3 linked regions of the Nothobranchius furzeri genome follow. The protein of the gene in region 1 purifies or fractionates together with the protein of each later gene. This does not show direct contact. Links are inferred from orthologs where the notes say so. Each region holds a gene or a part of one and is shown in the gene's direction. Other genes may lie near its edges.

What was found. Proteins that work in one complex are often made in the same cells at the same time.
Region 2: the proteins of dcp1b (region 1) and bag4 purify together in Homo sapiens (affinity purification with mass spectrometry; 3 studies listed by BioGRID and IntAct, counting the BioPlex papers as one, with this or other methods). This does not show direct contact. The link is inferred for Nothobranchius furzeri from reciprocal best matches to the Homo sapiens genes DCP1B and BAG4.
Region 3: the proteins of dcp1b (region 1) and edc4 purify together in Homo sapiens (affinity purification with mass spectrometry; 3 studies listed by BioGRID and IntAct, with this or other methods). This does not show direct contact. The link is inferred for Nothobranchius furzeri from reciprocal best matches to the Homo sapiens genes DCP1B and EDC4.

The regions. Positions count from the first base shown.
Region 1 is NC_091741.1:47,712,272-47,716,560, forward strand, and holds the start of dcp1b (mRNA-decapping enzyme 1B), read left to right. Parts: upstream 1-1,489; 5' UTR 1,490-2,312; coding exon 2,313-2,468; intron 2,469-2,880; coding exon 2,881-2,921; intron 2,922-3,251; coding exon 3,252-3,379; intron 3,380-4,289. UniProt on the Homo sapiens protein: May play a role in the degradation of mRNAs, both in normal mRNA turnover and in nonsense-mediated mRNA decay. May remove the 7-methyl guanine cap structure from mRNA molecules, yielding a 5'-phosphorylated mRNA fragment and 7m-GDP.
Region 2 is NC_091757.1:36,774,003-36,777,995, forward strand, and holds the start of bag4 (BAG family molecular chaperone regulator 4), read left to right. Parts: upstream 1-1,193; 5' UTR 1,194-1,366; coding exon 1,367-1,453; intron 1,454-1,867; coding exon 1,868-1,987; intron 1,988-2,141; coding exon 2,142-2,363; intron 2,364-2,499; coding exon 2,500-2,769; intron 2,770-2,886; coding exon 2,887-3,321; 3' UTR 3,322-3,993. UniProt on the Homo sapiens protein: Inhibits the chaperone activity of HSP70/HSC70 by promoting substrate release. Prevents constitutive TNFRSF1A signaling. Negative regulator of PRKN translocation to damaged mitochondria.
Region 3 is NC_091744.1:83,067,506-83,071,725, forward strand, and holds the start of edc4 (enhancer of mRNA-decapping protein 4), read left to right. Parts: upstream 1-1,420; 5' UTR 1,421-1,543; coding exon 1,544-1,631; intron 1,632-4,220. UniProt on the Homo sapiens protein: In the process of mRNA degradation, seems to play a role in mRNA decapping. Component of a complex containing DCP2 and DCP1A which functions in decapping of ARE-containing mRNAs. Promotes complex formation between DCP1A and DCP2.

The DNA.
Region 1 (4,289 bases):
GGCTACGGAAATGCAATATTCATATCACAGAAAGTTATGTTCTTCTTGTGTCTGTTACTGTTCCATCCTTGAATATTATTTTCAGGAAAGACGTGTCACCTTCCTGAAATCTAAAATCTTCAATTCAGACTATTTCTAATGTTGTTTCCCAGCAAAAGTCATCTTAACACTAGAACTACTTTGGTCATTTTGCAATTTGCATAAAAAATTACTTTAGAAACAATTTTATTTGTTTTATAAACTGCCCAGTGTTCCCAATCCAGATGTTGGGTTGACTGCCAGTGATTTTGTTTGGTTTCCCTGGGCAAGATGAAAATAGAACACCAAGATTGGGACATTTTACAATCAAAGAGCATCTCCAGCATTTGATCAGTCTTTCTCTTCCTCATAATTGTGTTATTTTTTTTTATCTTTTATAACTGTCTGTTTGTCTATTAATAAAATACGTATAAAGGAAAAGAAATATAATGTTTTTATTACACGTATTTTATTAATAGACAAATTAATATTTTATTAATAGACAAACAAATTGTGCAGAAATAAGACCATAGAAATGGCATTAGAGAGACTGATCATATGGAGTTGGAGTGTAGGGAATACAGTCGGTAAAGACTCAGGACCAGGTCTTGAGTTAAAATCTGAATAATTGTTAATGTGAGAGTTTGGAGCTGTACATTTGAAGAAATAATAATATAATAAAAAATAATAATACTGGAATAATTTCTATGGTTATTTAGTAGAGAGCTGGAGTTGGTTAAAGTCATCTAAGAGAATGAGTTTTGCAGTCAGGGTCCAACAAGGCACTGAAAGCTGTTAAAAAGTATAATGCGTCTGAAATAAACTTCAGTAGTTGTTTCAAAAAAAGTGAGTATCCAATGAAATGAAGTTTAGCTTGTTTAGACTGTTGTTTACTGTTCTGGGCCTTATCAAAAGTGGTATTGAGGCTTCACACACACCCAGAAGCTCAAACATTAAAATTTTGAAGCGTTTTAGAAATCCCTTTGGTGCCCTCCAGTGGTATCATTAGGAATTATAACAGTGGATTGGGCATTATTAAGGCCTCTTTGGTGTGTTCTTACTGTGTGTTTCTAATTCCATTTTTGGTTCTTTTTAAAACGCAGGAAAGGTTTCTCTTTACCTTGCTAACGTTTCATTTGCCGACTGCAAAACATCCTCAGTCAGTCGGCCTGCCATTCTTTCAGTCAGGAGGGAATAAACAAAGGTGCATTCATTACCTGCTTGATTCTACTGGGAGTAATAAACAGATATACCATTATAACTCACTTAAAGAGCAAGTCACCCCCAAATCAACTTTTTTTGCTGATAAACTAAATAAAGAAGTGTCTAATCGTGCTGCAGACACGTGTAGTCAATTATTTGGCACTTCGGTGCATCTTAGTTAAAAGTGAAATATTCTGCCTAAAACTGTCAGTGCTGCGCCGTTGTCAGGTAAAAACTCTGCACTGTATTTGAATTTAAATCTGCCACAGCTATTGGCTAAGAGGTATGCTATGATATAAACTGGTACATTATGATGTCACAATGCTGTTGTGAGCCTGTGTGTGTGTATTTGTTAGCGGCTCCGCTCTCTTGGTCTGCCAGGTAACAGCATTTGTTGCATTTTTCAAACATGAAGTGGGAGTGGAGTTAGACTCTGGTAGGGGGTGACTTGCTCTTTAAAGTGCTAGTAAAATGGTCAGATCGCTTTATTGGCTGGAGAAACAAATGTATTGCAAAAGAGCAGTGTTTACTGCCTGACGCATGGCCACATGGAAGAGTGTTCTTCTAAACATGGGATGGGCGCTTAAATTATTCATGTTGGTTTTTGGTGTTAATATTATTTATGAATTAAATTAACGAGTATCCGTTAATTTATATGGAGCCATAAGTTTACAAATGATAGGCAAAAAATAAAAGATAATCGTTGGAAAAAATATTGTATATAAAAACATGCAGGGATCATTAAGAGCCTGACTATGGGGTCGCTTTGAGGACGATTTCAGTTGCATCCCGCGCGGTTCTTTGACGCGGTATCTCTATTGATTTCTCGGAGTCGATTATTCAGCCTTGAAGTTTTTCCGCGCAACTACTCACGCCTAAGTTGTTTACAAGTGTTTTGGCTAAACATGGCAGTTTAGAGTCCGTGATAGCTAAAGCTCAAAGGCTGTAAAAACAATTTTAACGAGTTATTTAAATTTTTTTACATCTATCGATGACCTTGATTTTTATCTCGTCGTTGGTTCAGTTTTAATTTGCTTTTAACTCGATTGACGCTAAAGCTAGTTAGCTGGCTAACGTCTTCATAGGAAACAATGACGACTCCTGCAGCTAGTATTAGCTGCCTTACTGCAAAAGGACTGGATATAAGTTTGGCTGCCCTGCAGCGACAAGATCCTTACATTAATAACATTGTTGACGTGGCCAGCCAAGTTGCTCTGTATACTTATAACAACAGGACAAATGAGTGGGTAAGTCAGAAAATATTTTCTTCTACTAGTAAAAGATGCCATATGCTAGCTTAGCTTTGCTTCAACTGGCAGGCGCGTTTTGTCATTACACACTAACAACAGGGAGTAAGTTCATGTTAAAAAACTGTTTGCGAATGCTAAACTAAATAAAAACGCTGACGTGTGTTATAAGTGATCTACAATAGTGCATTGTATTTTATACACGGAAAAGGTTATGGTCTTAGTCGTGGAAAATAATCTGACTCATACTTTTGAGTTTTGTTTGTTCTCCAGACTGCGATGATGGAACATTTAAACTTATACCACTTTAGAGAAATATTACCGCTCTTGTAGTAAATGTATTATTTATAAACGGATGGTAAATGTGGAAAAATGGAAGAGAGAACCCAACACGTTCCTTGTTTTTCTTTAGGAGAAGACAGAAGTGGAAGGCACCCTTTTTATCTACACAAGGTAACGTTTTTACGTTTAAAACTACGTGATTTTTACAGTAATAAGTAAACTAATGATTCTACCACCATACTTACTGCTGGGATTAGGATTTATTTGTTGTAATCCTATTCTGCCATTTATTCTCTTTTCCCTTTGGTAAGATTTGTGTTTACTTGGTCGATAGAGTACCTTTAAGAAATGTAAGTTTTGTAACACTTAGTGGTGCAGTGTAAAGACATAATATCAGAGATATGGGTATATATACATATGGTTTGCCATGATAATCCTATGTTTGTTCATTATATCTGATGGTACTGGGTTTTTTTCTGCTGCATCCTCCTCGCCTTACAGACTTGCATCTCCCAGGCATGGATTCACCATCATGAATCGACTCAGCATGGAGAATCTAACAGAGCCCATCACAAAAGATTTAGACTTCCAGCTCCAGGACCCTTTTCTGCTTTACCGCAATGCACGCTGTAAGGCCTAATGCACACAAATACATGTTTACATAGTTTTGATGCACCTTACTAACACATACCTTAGAGTATTTCCAAGTTGTGTGTATTTCTTAATTATTTTAGACCTTGTGAATGCACATACATGTTTATTATAGCCTTTCATTCCTCTAAATGAGCAGAATTTCTACTATATGTGTGTTTCTTTCTATTTTCATTTTCTATACATGTATTTATTCATGCTTACTGTATTCCAAAAATGGTTTTAATTCAGTATTATCATACGAGCTAGAAGAAGGCCTATTTCTAATTCAAATAAAATTTTAATTGGAAAACAATTAATCACAGAAAGAAATTAAATTTGAATTAGATATAGTTTTAGTAAGCTCACCAGATTTAAATTTTAAAGGATGAACTGAAATGAAGATACTTTTGTTTTGTTTTAAAAGCTAACAGAATTTCACCTCAACTACTCATAAAGGTTCGATCATCATTTTCTTTGTTTTGAAGGATTTTTATAAAACAATTTCACAGACAAAAAAACACCACTTGTAATTTCTGTCATATTATGGATGTGGTTGACAGGTGGATCAGTGGTATAATTGCCTTTTTTTTTTAAATGCTTCTTGCTTTTTAAATTGCTTTCAAACTACTGCTCAGATTGCTGGTGTAAGTTGTCAGAAGTGAGAGCATTTCCACGTCACAATGACATTTCTTTTCTACTGTAAGAAAGTCTTATGAAACTTTCAGAAAGGGTAGTTAGTCAGATCATCTGAGTGGGAGCTCCATGTAAGGAGCTAAGCCGGGACATTTTAGTAAATTTTATCAGCCTGACTTTCCTTGAGACCCACATTAGGCGCCCTCTCACACAATCACATTTCCAAGTGTGCCTGTGGGAAAAGAGTCTGACAGCACTACAAAAGCAGCCAGC
Region 2 (3,993 bases), on another chromosome or scaffold:
TGCTGGGTCTAGCCCTTTGACTCCAGACAACCATCTATACATAAATACAGTTTTAAATGTTTTTAGCTAAATAATGGGAGAAAAAAGACTTTTAGAGTAGCTCCCCTATTGCTAACAACATCCCATTGTATTTTTTAAACAATTTAAAGTTATTTGTACTGAGTAACTATTGTAACTGTATGAATATAGTTCATTTTTGTATTTCTACCGTTCATCCTTCATGTTCATTTTCCCAAGAAGACAAAAACAAAGATTACGTCGTTTTTCGGGTTTAACTGAACTAACGTGTAGTTCAATCTTCTTGCCACTGGAGGGCGCTCGCTCCCCATCTCCCAATCTCTTTCAAAAGACTTGCTGTGTCTAGTTTCTAATTCCATTTTTAGTTGTTTTTTTATAACCTTGCTGACAGTTTTGTTTGCCGACTGCTAATGTTTTACAGTCGGCAAACGAAACTGTCAGCAAGGTAAAAAAAAAAAATAAAATAAAAAACATTTTCTGTGTTATAAAAAAGAACTAAAAATGGAATAAGTGTAGTTCTAGCTTGATGCCACTGGACGGCGCCAAAAACCCTCCTCGTTCAGTGTAAAAGTTTGTAGCGCTGTAGCTAACCAGCTAACTTAGCCCTTGGACTCCACACCATTCTAAGTACAGTTTTACCTTTAATTCTAGCTAAATAATGATCGAAAAGACTGTTAGAGTGAGTGACACGGTCTATATGTCTGTGGTTGCTGACCCCAAAATGCGAATTTACAGAAATATTTCTAAGTAACTATTGTTATTTTATAAATATAATTATTTCTACTCTTCATCCTTTATATTAATATCCTGAAGACAATATTATGATTTTTAACAAGTTAATATTTTAAAAACACTTTAGTGTCGCATTTAATTTCACAAAAAAATTATATTTGTTTTCATTAGTGGTTGGGTTTTTCATTTAGACAAAGATCGTATATCGTGGGAAAAATTAGTTTTAGTCTTAAAATTTATGAATGAGATTATATTTCCAATCCACTTGCATCGTAACCACTCCTTTGATGTCATAGTTGTGATAATTTTAGTTTTAAGAAATGTTTATTTGATCGTGGCAATGCTGACCCCGCAGTAACGTTAACACTATCAGAAATTGGCATCGGCGTGAAGCATCTCAATATTTGACGAATCTCTGTTTTAAAGAGACAGGCTTGGGTTTCCCCTAGCCTCGCGTCATTGACTCATTTCCTGATTTCAATCAGACGATTTGTACTTCTGAGTAGAAACACCTTGGACTTGCTGGTGTTTTAGACCAGTAACTCTTATCTTATTAAAGGTTTATTTATGGAAAATGCTGCTCAAGGGGACTGCGGATGGGGAATGCGCGTAGCTGATGCACCAAATGCATTCAAATCTTAAACCAGACTGGCCCTCTACTTGTAACTCGGAAAATCAGCACGGAACCTGGAGTAACAACATGGTGAGTAGACGAAAACGACACAGATAAGTTCAACGGCTACAATAAAAAGTTCATGAGTTTATTATCGACTAAAACCGACTTCAATTAGTATATAAGTCATACCGGAAGCGAGTTAGCTAGCGTTGCTCGTGTTAGCGGAGTGGCTAACTTGGCTAGTTGGCGTTATGTAATAGCACGAGCTAGTTAAGCTAACTGTTTTTATATTTTCAGCTTGATAATAAATCTTTTGAGACACCAAAATTTCAGCGGCAGTGATGTTTAATTTATACTTTTTGTATTTATTTATCGTCCCTTCAAGGATACACAGCCACGTTGAAAGAAGAATGTTGACTCTAAAGTTAATTGTTGGACTTAAAGATAATGTTTGGGGTGTTTTCTTTTATTAGTTATAAAAAATATCTCTTGTGTTAACAGGATTCTCCTCAGTATCCAGGATATGCGTCACATTACTGGTATCCACAGTCTCATTCCACTGGGCACTATGCAAACACCTATCCCTCTGGATCAGATGTTCAGCAGCAGTACAACCCACAGGTACAGCTCCTTGTGCAATACAACCTATCCTCTCTAAGCCACAGCTAATAGGATGATAGGTCAATAGAATCCTTGGTCTTACCTAATATGTTTATCTTTATGTTAAGTACATTTTTTTTTACTCATTGCGTCTCTTATTTTGTTGTTCGTGTAGCTGATGCCTGGAGGATATCCAAATGGCCACGGAGTTTACAGCCCTGCACAAAGTCAGTATTCAACAAGCAGTTTCCACGCATCAAACCCCTTCTACTGTGCTGACCATCCAAGAAATTCTTATCCCAACCAAGGCTGTGCTACAGAGCAGGGTAGTGGGGCTTCTGGGCCACCATACCCTCAGCACCAACACCATCACTATCCTGGCCCACACTGTCAAGGCGTGAGTGGGTTTTTGCAAGTTTTCACATAGCTAGTAGATGCCAGGTGGGAGATCAACCCTAAATGTAGCCAGTACTGGTAGAAATATGACTAGAGTATTGTTTGGAAAACAAGTGGTTTGTTTCTTTTGCCCTCAGGGTCCTGGATATCCTCAAGGGCATTATTCACACTACAGTGAAGGTGGACATGCAGTTCCTCCAAATCCACCATATCCCACTGGGCAGCCTCCCCATCCCACCTCTCAGGCTGAAGCTTGGGGTCACTCAGGTCAGTATGCTCCATCACCACAACAGTGGCAGCATGGACAGCAGCCTTCACAAAGTCCCTATGGTAACCCTGTCCGACCGCCACATCCCCCAGCGTGGCCTGGTACTGGAACTGGTGCTCCACCACCCTATCAGCCTAAAGTAAGAGTCCGCTGCTTTTTCTCTGTAGTTTGTGCATTTTGCTTTTTCTTTTTTAATCAAACAAAAATGACTTAAGAGCCGGGAATTTAATCAGGTAAATTCCACTTTCTCTTCTAGGACCAGCGCGCCCCTCATGTGGGACCGAAACCCCGACCAGCACTGTCTCCAAATTCAACCAATGGAAAGCCTGCTGAAATAAGTTCGCCTCCCCAGATTTACAACAAGAATGGGAGAAGCGATCCCAACCCCTTACAATCTGAGACTCCACCAGCTCCTGGTCCTGCCGGACCTCAGCCCCTGAGCGACAATCCTGGGCTTGCTAAAGTCCAGCAGGTTCTGGTCAGAGTCCAGCTGCTTCAGGAAGATGTTGATGAGTTTGTCGGCAAAAAAACTGACAAGAGCTACCGGTGTCTAGAGGAACTGTTGACCAAAGAGCTGCTGGAGCTAGACTCTGTGGAGACTCAGGGACAGGAGAGTGTTCGTCAAGCCCGGAAAGAGGCTGTTCAGAGAATCCAGACCATTCTGGACCAGCTGGAGAGGAAAGCTTTCTGAACTGGACTTCCTCTATTTCCCCATGGGTTGCTGTCTTTTCCTTTTTCAGATCTTCCATGGAATAATTGAAGGTTCAATCTTCTTCTGTAAAGGTGTAATGTTGTTTTTTTTTTCTCCCACCTCAATGTTATAAAATATCTTAGACATGAAACAAACAACAAGGTGGAGCAGTTATCCAAGACTGGAAACATTCTCTAGGTAGTATGTCTGCTGGTGTTAAACACAAGAATTGTTTTTTTTGTATGTCATAAGTGATTTTCAGCCTCCACTCGTGAATGTGCTGACACTGTTGCACATTTTACTTTTTACATCACGCCTTTAATGACAAAATCCCAGCTGTTAGAATTTGTTTTGTGCCACATTGCAGCTGTTTGTGGTCTTGAACTCTTGATAAATGTTCAGACTGCCCCTCAGGAATGTGGCTCGGTTTTTAGTCTGATCTGATAGTAACACAATCACTTCACAAGCAACATTTTAGTCCGTTTGCATGATCATAATATTCTTCTCTCTTGTGATGGATTCAGTCAGCTTCCTCTCCGTTTCTGTTGTGCTCCTAGTCTTGCACGTTCTGAAATGACAGATAAGCCCTCAGTCGTATTTCAGAGCCAATTATTGAGGCCAGAGTGTAGCAGATTAGTGAAAACCCCCACAGATTGCTGTCCTCGTTATCCC
Region 3 (4,220 bases), on another chromosome or scaffold:
CACCAGAAAGTCTGTTCTACCAAGTAGTAGAGGACGAAGACGGCATTTGGAACAGAACCATACTCTGTTGTGTCCTGGCAACAAGCGCTGCTTCTTGCTACAGTTAAAGAGAAAGTCACTCCAAATCACCATTTTTATTGCTGATAATAAATGAGTGTCCAATTGTGCTGTAGACAAATGTAGTCCATAATTTGGCACTTTAGTGCATCTTAGATAAAATTTAAATATTTTGCCTAAAACTGTCAGCGATGCACTGTCGTCAGGCAAAAACTCAGCACTGCATTTGAATTTAAATCTGCCATCACTATTGGCTAAAAGGTAATCTATGATGTTAGATGGTACATTATGATGTCACAATGTCGTGAGTGTGTGTATTTGTTAGAGGCTCCGCCCTCTCGGTCTGCTAGGCAACAGCATTTGTTGCATTTTTCAAACAGGAAGTGGGAGTTACGTAAGAATCTGGCAGGGGTTGACTTGCTCTTTAAAAAAAAGAACATAAAAAAATAAAAATAAAAGTCTAGTTTGTTCCTTAAATAACAACAAAACATATTACTTGTATTAAATTTATTATTTGTATGATATTTGACCCACTTTGATCAAAACTGATAAAATTTTAGCATTTTCCGCAGTCTAATGAATAAATAGTTTATTTTTCATCAGAACTGAGCTAAGCTGCTTTTATTTTGATAGTGGGTTTGCTAATTAGCATTTTCAGGGCTCTTGAAGAGTAAAACTCAAACACACATAGCAAAATGTACAGGTTACACACATTCATTTACAATAACACACAACTTTATATTGTTTTATTTGTAACTGTAATATAAAACATTGGTCGTTAGCTTTTTCTCTGACGTTCAGAGTTTAACAGTTTGTGACGCAATGCATTATGGGAAACTTTGCTATCCCAAGTCCGCAGAAGGATGCATTGATGCATCCTCGATCCAATGGGCGGAACAAGAACACATTGGGGAACTTTGAGCAAACTCACCTTTATGCATACTCAGGATTGGAACAGTCCTTGGGACTTCGCTGATGACATTTCACAAAGAACATGAGTACATGAGTTCGGACAAGTATGCATATACACACCCTGTGTGCATTTGGTAGCAACTCCGTCCTCTCAGTCTGCCAGGAGTGGGAGTGGAGTAAGACTCTGGTAGGAGGTGACTTGCTCTTTAACCATTTTAAGCATATACTGAAAAATATCCTACTATGGTCAAATACCAGTCTGAAAAAGAAAGCCTGAACCACTAAACGATTGCAAAAGTTCTTGCTCTTAGTGGTTAAATAACGGGTTGTTTTGAAAATGTAGTTGCTGTAAATATATATATTTTACTACAGTAAATGTGTACGCGTGGGTGTATGGAAGATGGACATTCTGAGGTAGGAACCAATGTTGGCATGGCACGATGGTGAGTCGGAACCCGCAAGGCGCGGACTAAACGGAAGTTTAGACGGTTGCTGTGGGTGAATGGTGAGCGTCTCCTTAAACCTAAAGTGAACTCCCTCCTCAGTGTTACCCCGTTTTCCTTTTCCCTCACCCATGGCGTCGAATTCTGACATCGACATTGAGGGAGCGACCCAGCATCTTCGCGACATCCTGAAGCTCGACCGTCCCGGGAGCAGCGCCGGTAAGTGGGACTGCTGCGCTCCAGCAGGCCGCGGAAGCTAACTTAGAGCTAACATGTTACATCCACAGGCGAAGCTCCGGAATGTGAACTTTTCCGGAGCAGAATCGCCCTCTTGTACATTTCACGAAGTGCCGACCGTAGACAACACCCACCTAAACGTATTTAGGTCTTAAACGTTTTCGCAGAGGCATCTGCGAAGCCGCTAATTGTTTTTTTTTCTGTTCGCCGACTACGTATGGGTGTTAGCCTCTGTCAGTATTTTCTGGTGGGGACAAATTGCTAGCCAATGAAAAAGTGGGTCAGTTTTTAGTTCGCTGTCTAGACTCTGAGGCAAACGTTTTGTATTATGTTTACTCTATGCAATTTTTAATGAACTGGTAATACGCTTATTTCTTGAAACTGCGTAGGTCACTGCTTTCGATTTCTCTCAGCTACTGTTGTGTTTGCTCATGGCGCCACTGACTTTGCTATATAAACCTCGATGTTTTATACAGTGCAAACGTTAAAACAAGTACTTTAATCTGTTTAAAAAGGTTTTAAAAATGCGTATCAATTAACATTAAAGCATTATATGTATGTGTAAATGTATATAGCCAGCAACACTGAGTTGTTTTGTTGTTTTCCTGCTCCATAAAGCCAGATTCAATGGTTGAATCAGCAGCCTATCAAGCTCTGCAGAAGCTTCACATGCTGATTAAAATCAGGTGTGTTGAAGCAGAGAAACAAAACATGCTCAATAGTGCCTCCTGGACCTGCATAACCCATTCTTTCCGTTGATTGTGAAAACGGCTGCAAAACGTATTACATGGCAATTAGCCACAGTTATAGTGGACAGGTTCCTTTTCAAATTCAGCCAAGTGTGACATTGTGGACACGTCCCAGAAGTAAAGGGACGCTATCATTCTGTTTCAAGGCTATGGCCCAATCCAAATACTCCCACTTGCGCCCCTTAATTACGCATTCCAGTCCAGGGGTGCGAGTGTGTAGGGCAGCTATATAATTCCAGGCCTTGAGGGCTGGTATCCAGCACGTTTTAGTGTTTTCTCTAGTCCAACACACTTATTCAGTGGTTGAGTAGAATTGACTTGACTTTATTGATCTCAAGGTGGGGAAATTAACTTGTTACAGCAGCACCCACACTTCAGAGGATAATTAAAATAAAAACAAAGGTACATGTATATATACACATAGGATGTAATCTAGTACTGCAATCACATATGCAGCAGCAGGCTCAGCAGAAGCTTGTTAATCACCTGCTGATGGAAATCAGGTGTGTTGAAGTAGGGTTAAAACCAAAACGTGCTGGATACCGGCCCTTGAGGCCCGAAATTGAATAGCAGTGGTGTGGGATATCCCGATCCTCAATTGTGGAAATTGACCGTGACTCTTTTGTCCCTTGTATCCTTGCCCAAGTTTGCACTGATGCAAATTCAGCGAGGGGTGTTACCCGTATCCATTACTGCGTGGGAATTTTGAGAAGGCAAAACAGTGGTTCAAGTGGCTTTTCTGAAAATATGTATTTTTATGGAGCTAGGATTGGGACAATATTCAGCGTAACTTGTACCAAGTTTTGTAACTTCAAACATGTTTCATCACATGTAACTTTGGATTCGTAACTTGTAACTTTAGTTTTCTAACTTGTAATTCTCAATTCGTACTTGTATTTCTTGTTTTGTAACAGGAACGTTGTATTTTGTACATGTATTTTTTTTATTTGGTAAGATCAAACTTTTATTTTGTACATTTACTACTCATTTTGTAACATCAAACATTCATTCAGAAACATGAAACTTTCGTTTTGTAACTAGCAGACTTCCAAATGGAAAAAATCAAGGTACAAGTTTGAAATCAAAACTCTCAAAACACACATTTCATTCTACAGGTACAAACTTCAAATCTACAGTTACGGATCTTTTTGTCTCGATTCTAGCGTCAGTGTTTGATGTTACAAAATGAGTAGTAAATGTACAAAGTAAAAGTTTGTTTTTACAAAATAAAAAATACATGTACAAAATACAACGTTCCTGTTACAAAACAAGAAATACAAGTACGAATTGAGAATTGCAAGTTAGAAAACTAAAGTTACAAGTTACAAATCCAAAGTTACATGTGATGAAACATGTTCGAAGTTACAAAACTTGGTACAAGTTACGCTGAATATTGTCCCAATCCTAGCTCCATATATTTTCAAATAAAATAATTTGATTTTAAGACAATTAATGATGATATGTGTTTATTCTCTGCATGGTTTAGAATAAGATTTAATGTGAACAGCAGTGAATGTATATTTTGTCAAGAAATTGTTTGAAAGTTGTTAATAAAGATCTTTTTAAAAAGTAGCACAGACACACTTGTGTACTACACACTCGAAGCCTTACTGTGCACTTCGCTGAAGACCGTAGGGCGCAGTGCGAGTATTGGGAATGGGGCTATTTTTTTATAAGCTACGCTTCAGAAACACGTCAAGCTCTTCAGTTCAGAATGAGCCAGACAGGAAGTCAAATGCAAAAGCAGTGTTAGTGTAAAATATCTGGAAAATAATTTGCGTGTTTGTCATTTCTTGTGAAACCCCCGTAAGCCGATTTTACC